3 linked regions of the Callithrix jacchus genome follow. The protein of the gene in region 1 binds, or shares a complex with, the protein of each later gene. Links are inferred from orthologs where the notes say so. Each region holds a gene or a part of one and is shown in the gene's direction. Other genes may lie near its edges. The genes, in order: CDHR5, ANKS4B and CDHR2.

Region 1 (2,625 bases):
ACCAAGGAGATAAGTGTGGAGGAGGTGAGGCCAGTGATGCCGCCGGGGCTGGGCATGGGGGGCGTGGGAGCCCGGGGTGAGGGCAGGGGGCTCAGTCACAGTGGGGTCCACAGGGGCCATGGCCGGACCAAGTTCCTCTCCCTCCCCAGGACACTAAAGTGACCTCCATCGTCATCCCAGAGACGGAACTGGAGGCCAAGGACCCAGACGCAAATGACATCTTGTTCTACACCCTCCAGGAAGAGACCACAGTCAGTGCTGCCCACCCTGTCCCCCCAGCACAGGCCCCTTGCCTCTGACACCCGAGGCCACCCTCGCCCTCCCAGGCTCTCAGGCTCTGTCCCCCCGACCCTCTCCAGGGTGCCAGTGACTACTTCTCCCTGGTGGGTGCAAACCGTCCTGCCCTGAGGCTGGACCGGCCCCTGGACTTCGATAAGCGGCCAAAGATGGCCTTCCGGCTACTGGTGCGGGTGAGCACGTCACCCCACCCCTGAGTCCCAGACACTTGCGGCCCCCGGACCCAGCTGCTCCCAGGCCTGATCCAGCACAGCCGGCCATTACAGGACACCCCGGAGGAGCACGTGGAGCCCAGCCACACGGCCACCGCCACACTGGTGCTTAACGTGGTGCCCGCCGACCTGCGGCCCCCGTGGTTCCTGCCCTGCAGCTTTTCAGACGGCTACGTCTGCATCCAAGCCCAGTACCTCGGGGCCGTCCCTACTGGGCACATACTGGTAATGGGGAGGGAGGGGCAGTCCACAGGGTGGAGACTCCCAGGCTGGCGGGAGGCAAGGGTCAGGGTCAGGACCCAGAAAGGGTCGGACCAATTGGGGTGAAGCCAATTTTGGTTGTGATTTTGAAACAAATACAGACTCTCCTTGTAAACCAATCCTTCCCATCTTGAGGTGGTGAGGGAGCAAATCTCCACACAGAGAGGAGCGTGGCCTGCCTGGAGCCAGGGGGTCTTGGGGGCCCGGGGAGGTGGGCTGAGGGCCTGGAGCTCTCAAGGGATGGTGACGGCTCTGCCCTGCTCACAGTCACCACTGAGGCCACACTGGCTGCCTGTAGACCTCATGGCACCAAGGCACCCGGGGGCAGCGGGAACCCGTGCCTGTGTCACCAAAGGGCTGGTAAAAGGTGGAATGCAGACCCCGAGGGTCCCACCCTTTCTAAATGTTTTCTTACCTGTCAAGACAAGCATTGTGCAAATGGGTCTCAATATTTTTGGGCAATTTGACTTATAGTAAGGGAACCACGGGGGTGTCACTGATTGTGATGCTGGGACAGCGACGTCCTAGGCAGGCAAGGATGCCCAGCCACCAGAGTGACAGGCCCCTCCTCGGCCAGCCCTGCCCTGGCTGACCTTGGGGGGAGCCAGAGGGGCCAGGCTGCGGCCATCCACTTCACCCCACAATGTGCCCTCCCCTCCACCATCCCTGAAGCCGTCCCCCCTCGTCCTGCGTCCCGGACCCATCTATGCTGAGGATGGAGACCGTAGCATCAACCAACGCATCGTCTACAGCATCCAGGATGGTGAGTGGGGCCCAGCCCGCAGCAACACCCTGGACCCCTCTCTGACCCTGTCTCTGTCCCCACCTGGGGCTAGGGAAGCCCTCGGGCCACCTGCCAGCTAGGCAGAGCTGACTGGGTCCCTGAGCCCCAGGGGGCCGGAGCTGAGCACTTCCTCCACCTCCCAGGAAATGTGAATGGCACGTTCGTCATCCACGCAGACTCCGGTAACCTCACCATGGCCAGGAGGGTACCCAGCCCCATGACCTTCCTTCTCCTGGTGAAGGTGAGGTGGGCACCTCCACAGGGGGCAGGGTGGGGTCCCTCCAATATGCACCTGCCTTCCTGAGCCCCAGGCTCCAGCTCTACCTTCAGCCCCACCAGTGCTACCTCCCCGCCTCCAGGGCCAGCAGGCTGACCTCGCCCGCTACTCCGTGACCCAGGTCACCGTGAGGGCTGTGGCTGCAGCCGGAAGCCCACCCCACTTCCCCCAGAGCCTGTACCGTGGCACCGTGGCGCTTGGCTCTGGAGCAGGTGTTGTGGTCGAGGATGCAGCTGCCCCCTCTCAGCCTCTGAGGATCCAGGCTCAGGACCCGGAGTTCCCGGTAGGCAGCATGCCAAGCCTGCTGCCCCGTCCGGCTGCCTTCCTGTTGCCGGGGTCCCGGGGCCCATCTGCCCTCCACGCTGTGGGCGGGTCAGAGCTGCATGTGGGAGGCAGCCTGGCCGGGAACTCAGTGAGGCCCTCTCTCCAGGACCTCAACTCGGCCATCACGTATCGAATCAGCAACCACTCTCACTTCCGGATGGAGGGAGAGCTTGTGCTGACCGCCATCGCACTGCCACAGGCGGGGACCTTCTATGCAGAGGTGAATGGCAGGGCAGGTGGATGTCTCTGAGGGCGTGGGGTTTAAAGAGGAACCCAGGAGGGACAAGCCCCTTCCTGCCCCAGGTTGAGGCCAACAACACAGTGAGCTTGGGCACTGCGACCACAGTCATTGAGATCCAAGTTTCCGAGCAGGAGCCCCCCTCCACAGGTGAGCCCAGGGTTCTCCAGATAAGTCCTTCCCTTCCCCGAGGCAGAGGTGCAGGGGGCGGGCAGAGGCAAGCCCAAACACT
Region 2 (4,265 bases), on another chromosome or scaffold:
TTTGTCCTAAGCTTTTCTTTAACTGCATCCTCTAAATCTCCATATGTGGCATTTTCATTTTCATTCTGTCCAAAATATATCTGATATAGGACTTGTGTCCAGAGTGTATAAATAATTCTTATACTTTATTAATAAGGCAACCTAATTAAAATTGGGCTAAAAGGTTTGAATAGAAGATGTAAGAATGACTAATAGGCACATGAAAAGATGCTCAATATCATTAGGGAATTGCAAATTAAAACCACAGTAATATCAGTTCACACCCACTAGATGGCCATACACAAAAAGATAGGCAATAATAAGAGCTGGCAAGGAGGTAGAGAAACTGAAACCCTCATACATTATTGGTGGAAATATGAAGTCATATAACCACTTTGAAAACAGTTTGGCAGCTTCTGAAATCTAAATATAAATTGCCATGTAACCCAGCAGTTTCACTCCTTGATATATATGCAAGGCACATGAAAATATGTGTCCACACAGAGACTTATATATCAGTGTTTATACTAGCATTATTCGTCAATGCTAAAAAATGGAAACAACCCAAATAGTCATCATATTCATCAAATATTGAATGGATGAAGAACATTTGGTATCTTAGGACAGTGGAATATTACTTAGCATGAGGGATCTTTGAGGGTTGATGAAAATTAAGAAAATGGGTATGCAACTCTATAAATGTCCTAAATATCATTGAATTGAATTGTATACATAAAATGGGTAAATTTAGTGGTATTATACCTCAATAAAGCTGTAATTTTTGGAAATAAAAACAGTGAACTAGACTAGCTCTGCATTTTTTATTTTTTGGGTGTTTTTTTTTTTCTTTTTTTTTTTGAGACGGGGTTTTGCTCTTGTTACCCAGGCTGGAGTGCAATGGCGCGATCTCGGCTCACCGCAACCTCCGCCTCCTGGGTTCAGGCAATTCTCCTGCCTCAGCCTCCCTAGTAGCTGGGATTACAGGCATGCGCCACTGTGCCCAGCTAATCTTTTGTATTTTTAGTAGAGATGGGGTTTCACCTTGTTGACCAAGATGGTCTCGATCTCTTGACCTCGTGATCCACCCGTCTCGGCCTCCCAAAGTGCTGGGATTACAGGCTTGAGCCACCGCGCCCGGCCAGCTCTGCATTTTTTAAAGAAATTTCTTACATTCTGTGCCTAGATGACCAGTATTACACTCAAGAAACTAACGGACATAGAAAAATTAAATGTGCCTCAAAACACTCAAGATGAATACAGCAGTCTTCAGTAGTCAACGTCATGGCCATTCCAGAGAGAAAAGGTCCAAGTTCAGTGCCTTGAATCTTGTTGCCTTCCATGAAAGGAAGCTGGAATGAGCTTTGCCCCGGTGACACTTTTCCTTGTCACTGATTAACTAGCGCTATAGGAAGGTTGCTCTGCCAACACCCTGCTCTGCCTGGAGAGATATCTGGCCAGTTCTGGTGAGCAGAAAAAATGTCTACTCGTTACCACCAAGCTGCTAGTGATAGTTATCTGGAACTTCTAAAAGAGGCTACCAAGCGAGATCTAAATCTTTCGGATGAAGATGGCATGACTCCCACTCTCTTAGCAGCCTACCATGGGAACTTGGAAGCCCTAGAGATAATCTGCAGTAGAGGGTAAGTTCAACCCAATGGTTTCAGTTGGAAACAGTGTTCATGGTAGCTTTTTGCAGCAGCAGCAAGAGGCAGGGATGTCAGTACAAATACTTTATCCTCCTTCTAGACTGTCTAAATGATTGGCTTTTTAGAGAAAGGGAGAAAACTACCTAGAGAGGCTCTCTTTTCTCACTGAGGACTGGCACTATGGGAGTGGCTCATCCCTTAGTCACAATCAGAGGAGAGATTCTGAACTGTAAGTGTTATCTGCCTGGAGAAGAGAAGAGATATTTTAATTCTATGCCTTTAAAAATGGTTTTCATGAAATTTATATAGTTTACTCTTTTAAAAGAGGCCGCTGTTTTACTTGGTTTTAAGTTGTCAAATTTGGTTGGAACAAATGACATGTTTTTAGTTTATTTTTTCATCTATGCCATTAAAATTCCAGTCTTTTATTAACCTTCAATCCCAGTACAAGCACATGATTTATTTTTATTTTTTGGTTTTGACACAGAGTCTTTCCCTTTTGAAAGGAGTTGCTGGCTCTACAAGGAATCTTTAGCCTACCTTGACTCTTGTCAGTTCTTTGGCCAGTGGACACACACACACACACACACACACACACACACACCGCTCTTTGCCCAGATTTTAATGAAGTTAGCTAGCTCTTCTGCTTGTTCTGCCTGTTATCAGAGGGCTGTATTGTGCTGGCGACTGTGACTCAAGAAGAGTAAGGAAAGAAAAAAGGACAATGTAAATAAAGGAGCCGAGTGAATCCAATTCCAGTATCTGTTATGTGCCAGCCATTTTGCTGGCCACTGGCACACTGTGATCAAAAAGCCAGCCACAATCCCTGTCATGGTGATCAGATTTGAGAGGGGAAGGCAAGACATCTATGGTGTGTGTGTGTGTGTGCGCGCGCATGTGTGTGTGTGTTTGAGACAGGGTCTCATTCTATCACGCAGGCTGGAGTGCAGTGTTGTGATCATAGCTCACTACAGCCTTGAGCCCCAGGCTCAAGTGATCCTCCCACCTGATCCTCCCGAGTAGCTGGGACTAGAGGTGTGCACCACCATGCCCAGCAATTTTTGTATTTTTTGTAGTGATGGGGTTTTGTCATGTTGCTGAGGATGGTCTTGAACTTATGAGCTCAAGCGATCTGACAGCCTTGGCCTCCAAAAGTGCTGGGATTATACATGTGAGCCACTGTGTCTGGCTTATCTGTGATGTTTGTTACAAAACGGGAAATAGAGGGCACTAAATAACATAGGCATCTATCCCAATCTCAGGGGTGAGGGAAGGCTTCCCTAAGGGAAAAGCATTTAAGCTGGGATTAGGAAAATGAGAACAAGTTGGCCAGATGAAAGAGTGTTTTTCCTAAGACAGAACACTACATTCTGAGAAGTAAAGAAGCTGAATATGGCTGGACATGGCTCAAGTAGCAGTGGGGACAGGGCAAGTTCCCAAGAGATAAGACCAGATCACAGAGAGCCTTGTCAACTCTGGTAAGGACTGTACCCTAAGGGTCCAGGAAGCCATTCCATGTCTTGGGTTTACGCAGGGAAGCCGCCCGAGTAGATTTATGTTTACAAAACTCACTCAGGTAGATGGATAACGGCCGGAGAGAAGGTTTGGGGCTGTTTTCATGGTCGAGATGAGTTGGACTAGGATAGGGGCAGTGGGAATGGGAAAATGCGGTTGGCTTTGAGCGGCAGTTTGGATGTAGAATCAATCATGATTAACTGGATGTGGGCAGATGAAGGAAAAGGAGGGTTAAGGACCCAGGATTTGGATGTTGACACTATTTATTAAAATAGGGGACATTTAGGAGGAACCCAGGATTGGGAGGATTCCTGAGTGTAAGATTGAATGAGGAAGTGCATGAAGCAGGTCTTCCCGTCTCTGCTGTCTGATTTGACTTCCTTTTCTCTGATTGATGTGGAGACACATCGATCCCCATCAGCCAGCCTTCTCCAGTCATCTCACCTCTTCTCCTGCTCAGCCCAGGTTTCCCCAACTTTCTCTATCTACGGAAAGTTTACCTCTTTCCACAAACTGCAAGATGTCAGTTACTTTAAAATCGATGTATTAGTCTATTCTTGCACTGCTATAAGGAAATACCTATGCCTGGGTAATTTATAAAGAAAAGAGGTTTCATTGGCTCATAGTTCTGCAGGCTGCACAGGAAGCATAGTGGCTTCTACTTTTGGGAAGGCTTCAGGAAGCTTCTAATCATGGCAGAAGGAAAAGGCATCTCACATGGCAGAAGCAAGAGCTAGAGAGCGAGGCAGGGAGGTGCTAGAAAACAGATCTAATGAGAACTCACTATCATGAGGACAGTACCAAGGGGGATTCCAGTCCTAAACCATTGATGAGAAATTCACCATCATGATCCAACCACCTCTCACCAGTCCCTACTTCCAACATGAGGGATTACAATTTTATTTGAGATTTGTTCCCCTCACAGAGATTGTTCAGATCTCACAGATCTAAACCATATCAATCAGTGAGTTTGTCCTCCTAGAAGAGGGTTTGGGGGTCTTCTTCAACAGCAGAGAGCTCTTGTTCCATTTGAGGACCATTTTGAATAGTAATGGTTAGGTGTTCTCTCTCTCTCCTTTGAAAGCCTGAAATATTCTGTCACAGTAAGTGTTCTGCTGATCTTTT
Region 3 (3,651 bases), on another chromosome or scaffold:
TCCCCCAAGGTTGGGCTGGTTATTACCATTTTGTTTCTATCTATCTGTCTATCTATTTTGAGATGGAGTCTCACTCTGTCGCCAGGCTGGAATGCAGTGGCACGATCTTGGCTTACTGCAACCTCCGCCTCCCAGGTTCAAGTGATTCTCCTGCCTCAGCCTCCCAAGTAGCTGAGACTACAGGTGAGCACCACCACACCTGGCTATTTTTTTTTTAAGTTTTACCATGTTGGTTTTACCATGTTGGCCAGGATGGTCTCGATCTCTTGACCTCGTGATCCACCTGCCTCGGCCTCCCAAAGTGCTGGGATTACAGGCGTGAGCCACAGCACCCGACCCCCTGGTTAACTTTTTAATTTTTGTTGCCCAGGCTGGTCTTGAACTCATGAGCTCAAGCAATCCACCTGCCTTGGCCTAAGTAGCTAGGACTAAAGATGCATGCCACTATGCCTGGCTAATTTGGCTAATTTTTAAAATTTATTTTTCATGGAAACAGGATCTTATTGCCCAGGCCAGTCTTGAACTACTGGCCTTAAGTGATCCTCGGATTCCCAAAATGCTGGGATTACAGTCATGAGTCACTGCACCTGACCTATTACCATTTTATTGATCAAGCAACTGAGGCAGGGCTGGGTGCAGTGGCTCACACCAAAAATCCCAATACTTTGGGAGGCCAAGATGAGAGGATTGCTTGAGCCCAGGAGTTCAAGACTGGGTTGGGCAACATACCAAGACCCCATCTCTACAAAAATAAAAAATTAGCCAGGCATGGTGCCATGGACCTGTAGTCCCAGCTACTCAGAAGGCTGAGAAGGGTGGATCGTTTCAGCCCAGGAGGTTGAGGCTGCAGTGAACTATGTTCATGCCACTGCAATCCAGCCTGTGAGACAGAGCAAGACCCTGTCTCAAAAAAGAAACTGAGGCACAGAGAGGTTCAGTACCTTGCCTGGGGGAGTCACAAAATGGGGTTGTGACTCCAATCAATCTGGTTCTAAGGCTGCCACCAGCCCACAAGTCACCTTCCTCTGGAACAGTATTGTAACAGGTATGCACATAACCCTACATCCTCTAGGGTTGTGCAGTGCACACCCTGCACCACTGCACATAGTAGCCCTGTGTCCCTTGGATTGGGATGCACCATTTTCACGCAAGGATCAGAGAGTAAGACCTCAGAAATAGAGAAACTGAAGCAGAATGAGACCTTGCTGGTTGTCCTTGGGGTGGGAGGGCTGCAAAGAGAGAACTTCATTTCCTGAGTGAACAGATTTCTTCACCTCTGTGAACAGTCACAATTGCCCTATTAGTGGGGCTACTACCCCATTTTGCAGATGAGGACATTGAGGCCCAGAGTGGTCAAGGATACACATGAGGCAGAGGTGGAGCAAGATGTGACTCAGCACTCTCAGCCACTCCTGTGAGCTAGGGCAAACTTGAGAATGCAGCTGGTCTTGTGCATGGAGCCGTGATGCCATCTCTGGGAAATGAGCAGTAGAAAAGACATATAGCTAAGGTGGAAGAAGGTTGTCTTCCAAATGTTTGTCTAGGGTTATTCAGAAAAACAAACACCTATGATGTGACCCACAAACCCAGGAAAGGCTGGAGTACTCAGGGCATTCCCCCAAGCACATGCCAGTGTTAGGGGACAGAGGGGAGGGCAGAGTCACCTCCAGGTTGTGACAACAGTTGCAGGGCTCCAGCTGTGCCTGATGGGCTAGGGCTGGCCACAGAGGTGAGAGCCAAAAACAGCCAGTGTCCGAGGCAGGAGCAGGTCTAAGCTTCTGCAGGTCCCAGAGCCCAGCTCTGCCTGAGCACAGAGCAGGTGTTGTGGGCTCAGTTGTATGCAGGAGGGACAGGGTAGGATGGGACAAGGGAAAGTGTGGGCCTTGGAGCCTTCATGGACACATAATGGTATTGGTACCAACACAATAAATCCAAGAGATGGGAATCAAGCTGGACCAGGCAGGGTCGCAGGGGGACCCAGAACTGTGCTTCCAGAAATCAGAGTCTAGAACAGTTCTGAGCTGTGGTCAGAGAAACTTGGCCTTTCATATCCAAGGAGGCAGGCAGGGCTTCCTGAGGATGGATATGTAAGGCCCAGCTGCCACTACAGGCCCTCGAACCCCAGAGCCCGTGTGACCCGGGCAAGTTCCCTCCTCCCAGAGCCTGTTTCCTCATCTGGGGAGTGGGCAGTGAGGTCGGAGGCACTGGTAGAGTCTGTGCCTCAGAGCACAGGGATTATTGGTTTCTCAGATTGGCTCTGGGGAGGGTGAAATGGATCCAGGGACGCAGACCTGTCTCTGCCTGCAGGACATCAATGATAACCTGCCTATCTTCAACCAGTCCAGCTACAACTTTACAGTGAAGGAGGAGGATCCAGGTATGTGTTCCCTGGGTCAGGAGAGGCACTAGGGCTGGGGCCCAGTGTGTCTTTGTTAGGGTGGACCTGGAGTGCCAAGAGAGGCGAGGGCAGAGGAGGCTTCTGATGGTGGGGCCACGAGTCTGTCTGAGCTCTGTCCCTTGTCCATAGGAGTGCTAGTGGGCGTGGTGAAGGCCTGGGACGCAGACCAGACGGAAGCCAACAATCGCATTAGCTTCAGCCTGTCGGGGAGTGGTGCCAACAACTTTATGATCCAAGGCTTGGTGCTGGGGGCTGGGTGGGCTGAGGGCTATCTCTGGCTGCCCCCGGATGTGAGCCTGGACTTCGAGACACAGTCCGTCTTCAACTTGACAGTGAGTGCTGAGAACCCAGACCCCCAGGGTGGTGACACCACAGTATATGTCCTTGTGAATGTGGAAGATGTGAACGACAATCCCCCCACCTTGGATGGAGCCTCAGTCCGGGACATCCGTGTGGCTGAGAATGGCTCGCAGCATGGCCAGGTGGCTGTGGTTGTTGCCTCGGATGTGGACACCAAAGCCCAGCTGGAGATACAGCTTGTGAACATTCTCTGCACCAAGGCCGGGGTCGATGTGGGCAGCCTGTGCTGGGGCTGGTTCTCAGTGGCAGCCAATGGCTCTGTGTACATCAACCAGAGCAAAGCCATTGACTACGAGGCCTGTGACCTGGTCAAACTGGTTGTGCGGGCCTGTGACCTCACCACAGATGCCGGCTTCCAGGCCTACAGCAACAATGGTAAGGCGGCCTGGTCTTACAGGGCTTGGCAGGCCACAGCTAGGGGCTGAGTGAAGAAGCCTGGGCTTCTTCACAAGGTCTGGGCTCAGATCCTGGCTCCAGCCCTTTCCAGTTGCAAATACTGGGAAAGTCCCAAATCCTCTCCAAGCTTCTGTCCAGTGGGGTTGGGCAGTAGGTTGGCTAGGAAGAATCAATGAGAAGATCCATGTAAAGCATTTAGTGCAGTGCCTGGCATGCAGTAGCACCGAATTAATGACATTATTTTGCAAGATGCTGTGAAAGAAAGATCACACTTTAGAGCCAGATGTGTACTTGTATCCCACTTCTGACACCATATGGCAATAATAACCACATTAACAGCTAGCATATGTTGAGTCCTTATGACAGCCAAGAACTGCACCAGGCACCTTATAAGCATTTTTGCACTTCTACATAATCCATGGGGTAGGTGGTCCCTATCAATTTTAAAAAGGAGTGTGGGCATTTAAACAACCAGCTTGCATAGTTAGAATGTGTCA

The links.
Region 2: CDHR5 (region 1) and ANKS4B share a complex: the UniProt entries of both Homo sapiens proteins name them as parts of the IMAC/intermicrovillar adhesion complex. The link is inferred for Callithrix jacchus from reciprocal best matches to the Homo sapiens genes CDHR5 and ANKS4B.
Region 3: CDHR5 (region 1) and CDHR2 share a complex: the UniProt entries of both Homo sapiens proteins name them as parts of the IMAC/intermicrovillar adhesion complex. The link is inferred for Callithrix jacchus from reciprocal best matches to the Homo sapiens genes CDHR5 and CDHR2.

Annotation. Positions count from the first base shown.
Region 1 is NC_133511.1:131,271,919-131,274,543, forward strand, and holds part of CDHR5 (cadherin-related family member 5), read left to right. Parts: coding exon 1-24; intron 25-149; coding exon 150-251; intron 252-359; coding exon 360-470; intron 471-563; coding exon 564-734; intron 735-1,442; coding exon 1,443-1,533; intron 1,534-1,697; coding exon 1,698-1,795; intron 1,796-1,913; coding exon 1,914-2,114; intron 2,115-2,261; coding exon 2,262-2,375; intron 2,376-2,458; coding exon 2,459-2,543; intron 2,544-2,625. UniProt on the Homo sapiens protein: Intermicrovillar adhesion molecule that forms, via its extracellular domain, calcium-dependent heterophilic complexes with CDHR2 on adjacent microvilli. Thereby, controls the packing of microvilli at the apical membrane of epithelial cells.
Region 2 is NC_133513.1:22,402,973-22,407,237, forward strand, and holds the start of ANKS4B (ankyrin repeat and SAM domain-containing protein 4B), read left to right. Parts: upstream 1-1,431; 5' UTR 1,432-1,455; coding exon 1,456-1,619; intron 1,620-4,265. UniProt on the Homo sapiens protein: As part of the intermicrovillar adhesion complex/IMAC plays a role in epithelial brush border differentiation, controlling microvilli organization and length. Plays a role in assembly of the complex.
Region 3 is NC_133503.1:69,634,973-69,638,623, reverse strand, and holds part of CDHR2 (cadherin-related family member 2), read left to right. Parts: intron 1-2,307; coding exon 2,308-2,377; intron 2,378-2,527; coding exon 2,528-3,133; intron 3,134-3,651. UniProt on the Homo sapiens protein: Intermicrovillar adhesion molecule that forms, via its extracellular domain, calcium-dependent heterophilic complexes with CDHR5 on adjacent microvilli. Thereby, controls the packing of microvilli at the apical membrane of epithelial cells.